Linked DNA regions of Ovis aries. The protein of the gene in region 1 interacts with the protein of each later gene in a pairwise test. Links are inferred from orthologs where the notes say so. Each region holds a gene or a part of one and is shown on either strand. Other genes may lie near its edges.

Region 1 (3,986 bases):
TAGTCACTGAATAGAACAAAGGGTTGGGCAGAATTCAGGCTTTTAACTTTCAGCCTTTTTGAGGAGTATCTGCATGGTGCTGAAGTTGGCCTTGGAATACATGAAAATTGACATATACGAAATCCTCAGCATGTCTATAGTGGCTTAGCAGTTCCACAAGCCTCAAGGAAGCTTGCCCCGGGCCCCACCTTTTCTAGAGAAGGAGCAGTGCATGGGCTTAGTCCTCCACCCTGTGTGTTATTATTTTTTCCAACCACATCATTTCATAGACAGTTTAGGAACCAATAAAGCACAAGTCTTGTTTGAAAAGATATATCTAAACATAGGAATAATAGATTATAAGCCAAGTCACTTCCTTTCTCTGAGTTTCTGTTTATCTGTCAGGTATCTTCCATCTTATCAGAGAGCTGTAAAGGAAAATGGGGGCGAGGGAAGCAGCAAGCTTCCCGGAATGTCCAACTTCTCAAAGAAAGCAGGCTGCACAGACAGCTTATAATCTGTATGGCTTTGGCTCAAGGTTTCTGCAAGGAAACATAAGTTGTTTTTATCCTGCCCATTGCTGTCTTATTCGCCCTCAGTGCTGGTAGTACTGAAGTCTGGTAAGCTTTTTTTCGGAGGCTATCCTGATAGCTCTTTCCTGTACTCCACTATTTTTGGTTGTTTTGGAAATAGTTTAAGGATGCAACATTTAACCCCAGGGTTGCAGATTCTCTCGTCTCCCATCTGTCAACCCCCACTTCCACCCCTCCCCGCCAAGACCAGTCCCCATCCACAGATGATACTGGTCACCCTCAGAACTGTGGCCTTGATGGCTCCAGTTTCCGTTCTTTGACTCGGGTCCCAGGACACCAGTCCAGGTTTAACTTTATGAGTTGGGTGGCCAGCTTGCCTAATCAGTCACGTTTCAGCTAGGGGCTGCTTCTACCTGCTCATCCTCTGGTTCCTCCCCACCTGAGAGGAAGATTCAAGTGGATTTGGCACAGCTCCTAAATCGAGGCCTGCCATTAGCAGGCCGGGGGCTGACGTGTGCAAAGGAAGACTCGGACCGAGCAGGCCTTTTTCACCTGCGTAATAACAGGCTTGGGAGTAGCGAGGCGGCCGCGGCGGCGGCGCCAGGAGGAGGAGGAGGAGCGCGGGCAGAGGCCGCCGCGGGGCCGGGAGGAAGAGGGGGAGGAGAAGGAGGAGCTGAAGCGCCGAGAGCGATAGGCAGCAGCTCGGCCGGAGTTGCAGCGGCGGCGGCGGCGCTCACACCGCAGCCTCCCCAAGCCCCGAGTCCCGGCGGGGGCAGCAGCAGCGAGCGCCCGCCCGCCCACCCAGTCTCTGCACCTCGGCCCCGCCAAGCCGCTGTCGCCGCGCCCGGGGAACTGCCAGCCATGGCCGCGCCGCCGGATCCCCGAGACGAGCTGCTGCCGCTGGCCGGCCCCGGGTCCCAGTGGTTCGGGGACCGGGGGGAGGGGGAGGACGAAGCGGTGACGCCGAAAGGAGCCAAGCCCGAGACGCTGGCGGGGGAGCCGGGACCCGGGCTGGGCGCCGGGGTCGCCGAAGCTGCGCCGCGGGAACTGGGCTCGGGCCCCGCCCGGCCGCCGCCCGTTGCCATGGAAACTGCATCCACAGGTAAGGCGGGCGGCGCCGCTGCCCCGCAAATGGCGTCTGGGACTCTGGTCCCCTAGCCGGCCCCCTTCTCTTCAACTCACCTATGCACCTACTTTGCGTTCTCTATCTTCAGGACCAACCTTAATCCGTCCCCGCCCCCACTCCCTTCGCCACAGGCGCCTGTAAATATTAAATGACTGGTAGGAACAGAAATTTTATTTTAGTTTCCAAAGGCTCAGAAGAAAACAAAATACTATTGATCCTTTTATTTCGTTATGGTTATTTTTCTGGCTTTCGAAGTTGTCCTCAGAGACAAACCGCAGCATCCTAGCTGCTGGTGCGCCTGTGTACAAGTTTCTTCCTTGGGACTGGGGGCTGTAGGGCCCGCTTGGCCAGTTGGGACGATTTGGTCGGGGGGCGTGTTTGCTTGCAGGGCTCGCTCCCGCGACAGGGGAAGCTGACGACAAAGCGACCGGCAGGCCCGCTGCCCCTAGACCCGGCTTGATCTAGGGCAGAGATGTGACTTTAACTCTCCCTTTCCTTAACCTCCGAGAGTCGCCACACCCTACTTCCTCCCATTTCCCTTTCCCTCCTCTAGCTCACCGCACACTAAACTGAAACGCCGAGGTGTGTTTAATTCCGGAGGGACTGCGAAGCCAGAAGGTTGGGAGCTGTGCCGGTCCCCCGCCCAGAATCCTTCATTTTCAGCTCCCCAATGCTCCCACCTCGAAGGGAGCTTTGGAACTTGGAACCCTAATTTAGAGCGGCCGCTGGCTGCGGTGCTAGAGATTGTTGAGTCGCGGTGGGTGTAGCTAGGAGGCACAGTTTGCCAGCAGTCTGAACCAGCGAGGGCGTTACGAAATTGCCCTGGGTTTGTCCTCCCTCCACCTTCACCTTCTGAACTGGATCCCAGCGGAGACCTGAGATCTTGAAGCATCCTGCCCAAAGGATGCCTGAAACGAGCTTTGGGGTGGGACTGCCGACTCAGGGAACTCCGTGTTTCCAAGGAGCGGGGAGGGGAGGGTGCTGTGTTGTGTAGTTCTCCGAGAAAGCTTTGCCGGGTGGAATGAGAGTTGTGTAGATTTGGAGATGTAGCTTTTGAAGGCCGGGTGCTAGGTGATCCTGGGGGAACGGAATGGGGGCGGGACTGGCATTCTTGTTCTTGGCAGCTGATTTAGGGGAACCCTTTTCTTAAGCCACTGCCTCTCTTAAGGGTCACATGGAGTGCTTTAGGTAGTCTTGATTATGCCCTAGTATAAAAGATTTGAGCTGAGGAAAGGAGATTGAGGGAATGTTTTGAATAAAACATTCTGAAGGGAAAAGAAAAAGACCATATACAAACAAAAAAGAAAAAAGACAGACTCAAAAGCAGAAAACCCCGTTTGTCCAGTATTAGTTATTATATGGGGGAAGGGAGGATTTCCGACTAAGATCTCAACTTAATCTAAATGAAAAAGAAGATGGCAAACCTAATAGAAAAAGGAAGGTACTTTTTTGGTTGATTTACCATCAGCATTCTTCGTTGAGAGTAGCTCCTAGTACAGAACCTTTATCCACCATCATCAAAATAAATCATTTATAAACATTGCCCACCTCTCATTGGTGTGATCAGGGTCAGGTGAACTAAGGAGGGGAAGCTTAGCTTCCTCTCAATAACATACTATCCACTAAAATAGTTGATCTATATAAAATGCTTTTAACAATTGTGACAAAGTAGGCATTTGCAATATTTAACATTATTACTATTATTATAGAAATAGTTTGTTAAATATATTAGGGATTTCCTATCCTAGGCAACAAATATATTAGTAAAATTAAACATAATGCTGAGTTTGGATGGGAAAAGAATGAAGGAAGGGGGACAAAGCATAAGTTTGCAATTTATACAGAAAATTTAAAGTTTATTTATTGCTGCTTGAAGGAATTTGTCATATATTTATTGATTATTTAGTGTTTTCAGTTTGCATTCAGTATTCAGTATGGGCTGTTATAAGAGGCCTAGATGCCAGAAATGATATCTAAATAAATTACTAGATCTTGAAAAAAAATTAAATAAAATCTGGGCCAGCTTCCTTATCTGTTATTTTAACAGTTCTATTGCAATTAAGTAAAGTTAGCAGGTGTATCCTCAACTTAATCAGGGACAAAATCCAGAGGAAGCCTATTAAGCTCATAATTTTGCTTTTTTAAAAGAATGATGCTCTTTGGGACTCAAACTAAGAAGTAACTTAGAGGTTGAGTGTGATACACTGTAAACAAATTATGTTTCTTTTTCAAATGGAATTCTAAAATGTAAGGCAGATATTGATGTTTTAAAACTTTTTTTTCCCCTGAAAAACACCACTAATCATGCCATCTGGACAGAAATTCTGTGATTCATTTTTATACATTGA
Region 2 (3,517 bases), on another chromosome or scaffold:
AAAATCTGACTTTTCTTTTTTTTTTTTTTTAAACCAAGTTAAGACCATGTAAAAATACTCCTCATTCCCTTTTTCTTTTAATAAAGTATAAAAAGAAGAAAGCCAGCTGACTTACCTGATCATTCTGGACTGAAATTGAGAAATTGAATATGAGCCAGAGTTTTGCATTGCAACTTGAGTGGACATGGCAAACCTCCAACCTCTGAAAATTAAGACAGTTATAAAATGAGCTATGATCAGGAACACATACATGCAAGGATGACAGGTTATGTACTTATTCACTACTATAAAGGGTAAGCAGCGTTATTTACAGTAGCCAAGATATGGAAGCAACCTGTCAATCAACAGATGAATGGATAAAGAAGATGTTGTCCATACATACAATGGAATATTGCTTAGCCACGAAAAAGAATGAAATCCTGTCATTTACAACAGTGTGGATGGACACAGAGGGTATTATGTTCAGTGAAATAAGTGAGACATAGAAAGATAAATATTCTGTTATCACTTAGATGTGGAATTTAAAAAATAAATGAATGACTAAACAAAAAAGAGACTCACAGAGTTAGAGAACTACTGGTTACCAGTGGGGAGAGGGAAGGAGGGAGGGACAAGATAGTGGAAAAGGATGAAGATATACAGACTACTATGTATAAAATAAATAGGCAACAAGGGTATATTGAATAGAACAGGGAAATACAGTCATAATTTTGCTATAACTTTAAATGGAGTATAATGTATAAAAATACCGAATCACTATGTTGTACACCTAAAACTTTATAATACTGTAAATCAGCTATTCTTTTTTTTTTTCTTTTAAAGTGAGCAACTGCCAGTGTTTAGGGTGAGCCTCGTCCCAGGATAGCACCCTACATAGGGTGTATCATACTTAAACACATTTCAGTCATTACAGAAGCCCATGACAGTACCACTTAAAAACCGGAAGGAACTACAACCCCTCAGTTCACAGCTCAATAAACTTAAAATACAGACATTCTGAAAGTACTAAATGGAGTGGGGCCTGTATTTAACAGTCTCTGAACACTATTAACCAAAAAAAGGAGTAGTGGGGGATATGTATGTGAATATTCAAGAAGAAATATAAACCAAAAGTGGCATTCCATATCTCACGAGAAACAATATGAAACCACGGACCACTAACACCACCAGAAGATAAGTCTGAAAACATACTTCAACTTTTAAGATCACACCTTCAGTAAATTATCACACAAGGAAACAACCCCCTTTAAAAAAGCAAATGAGTGTCATTTTGTGATAGAAAAGTGTGATTAAGGCAATCATGAATCATTAGGTAGCTTCTTAGCAAAGTATCAAATAATCTACTGAAAAATTTCAAAATTTGAAATCTCATTCTTTAAATTTTCACCTACTGGCTTTATGACTGCACTGATACTTTTAATTCTTGTAAAACACATAAACATTTACATTCATAATAATGAAAATTTACAGTCACAGAGAAGCTTCAATTTAACTACTTCAAATCACATACATTTTTTAAGAGTTTAAATGTATTTATTTTATTTTTTAAATTGAAGTACAGTTAATTTACAATTATAGTTTTCAAGTGCACAGCAAAGTGATTCAGTATTTACTGGGTTGGCCAAAAAGTTCATTTGGGGTTTTCCCATAATATCTTACTATATATGTGTGTGCTAAACAGTAGGCCCTTGTCTACTTGTTTTATAAATGATGGTGGTGGTTTAGGTTGAACCAGGTCTTGTTCGATTCTTGTGGTTCCATGGACTGTAGTCCACCAGCTTTCTCTGTCCATGGGATTTCCCAGGCAAGAATATTGGAAGGGGTTGCCATTTCCTTCTCTAGTGGATCTTTCCTACCAGGGATCATACCTGCATTGCAGGCAGATTCTTTACCACTGAGCCACCAGGGAAGTCCCCTATTTTACATACAGTAGTGTATATATGTTAACCCCAAACTCCTAATTTATCTCCTTCTCCTGACCTCCACTATCCCCTTTGGTAAACATTAAGTTTGTTTTCTACATCTGTGAGTTTGATATTTGTCTTTCTCTGTCTGACTTACTTCACTCAATATGATAACCTTTAGGTCCGTCCATGTTGCTGCAAAAGACAGTATTTCATTTTTTTTTATGACTGAGTAACATTCCATTATACATTCAGATCACATCTTCATCCATTCATCTGTCGATAGGCATGTGAGTTGCTTCCATGTCTTGACTATTGCAAATAGTGCTGCTATGAACACTGGGATAAATGTATCTTCAGATTAAGACTTTTCTTCAGAAATATGCCCAGGAGTGAGACTGCAGGATCATATAATAACTCTACTTTTAGTTTTTTAAGTAAATTCCATATTGTTTTTGAAACCAAATTAATTTGAAGAATGTAGAGAAATTAGAACATTTATTTGCTTCATTAGTGTGTACCTGAATAATTAGTAGGAATTACATTCTAAAAGTATTAAACTATTCTGTACTTACTAGCAAAAAATAAAATAGCGCTTAATCCACAGGTTTAACAAACAGAAAAAGCCAACATAAGTTCGGAAATAAAAAATACAACAACCTAATTTAATTTAGTTTTCTTACCGGTCAGCTATTGCTTTGGCCATAAAGTAATCTTCAGCAATATACTGAGCAAAAGCTATAAGCCCTCCTGCTTGATCTAACACATCCTTTCTCATTAAACAAGACATTCCTGTCACACATTTGAAACCAGTGACATTGGCAGAGATATAGGACCTTGGATGAGAGGTTCCAAAATACACCTGCCAAGACAAAACCGGAAACATACGTGTACAATTAGAAGTTTACGTTAGAAGTATGATGTTTATAAATTCCTTTTCCTAATGAACTTAAGAATGATAGGGTGAACAGTCTATTATTCTTACATACACTACCTGAATAAACAGTGGTACAGAATAATGTTTACATATAGCAAGCAGTCAGTAATTTCTAATTTGATTGACTACTCTTGTTATTATCACTTTTACAAAGAAGTAGTATGTACTTCGTGGAGGGAAAAGTATACTTTATTCTCAAATAAATACTGTCTTTCCTAAAACTCCAAGATTTAAAGATTTATTGAAGTAAAACAATTTGGATTTAAATAACAGAGGTGAAAATATCACTTACTGATATACGATATTCATGTTTAATGTATCCTCTTTTCATACTCTTCACATAAATATACACACATCTACACACACAGGTATATGTACATATGTGTATGTGTACATGTATGCACGTGGCTATACACACACAACACTCACAGGTACATCAACCAAAAGAACAATCCTATTTCTTAATTTCTTTTCCTGTATATTTTTGCAGTTAGCTGTTTCCTGCCCAAGTCACAAAGCTCAAATTCCCCATTTTTCAGTGTGTTTTTCATAAACAGGGTGAACACTAATAGTCTCCCATTTTACTGCCCCTTTCATAACGTGCTTTGGAGTCATCAAAAGTGCAAACTGCTAAACTAATGGGAGAATAAAATGGTCATCCAAACTTACCCAACTT

What was found.
Region 2: the proteins of RTN1 (region 1) and UGCG interact in a two-hybrid assay, tested with the Homo sapiens proteins (2 studies listed by BioGRID and IntAct). The link is inferred for Ovis aries from reciprocal best matches to the Homo sapiens genes RTN1 and UGCG.

Annotation. Positions count from the first base shown.
Region 1 is NC_056060.1:70,159,197-70,163,182, reverse strand, and holds the start of RTN1 (reticulon-1), read left to right. Parts: upstream 1-1,171; 5' UTR 1,172-1,373; coding exon 1,374-1,614; intron 1,615-3,986. UniProt on the Homo sapiens protein: Inhibits amyloid precursor protein processing, probably by blocking BACE1 activity.
Region 2 is NC_056055.1:11,620,681-11,624,197, forward strand, and holds part of UGCG (ceramide glucosyltransferase), read right to left. Parts: intron 2,767-3,517; coding exon 2,588-2,766; intron 203-2,587; coding exon 116-202; intron 1-115. UniProt on the Homo sapiens protein: Participates in the initial step of the glucosylceramide-based glycosphingolipid/GSL synthetic pathway at the cytosolic surface of the Golgi.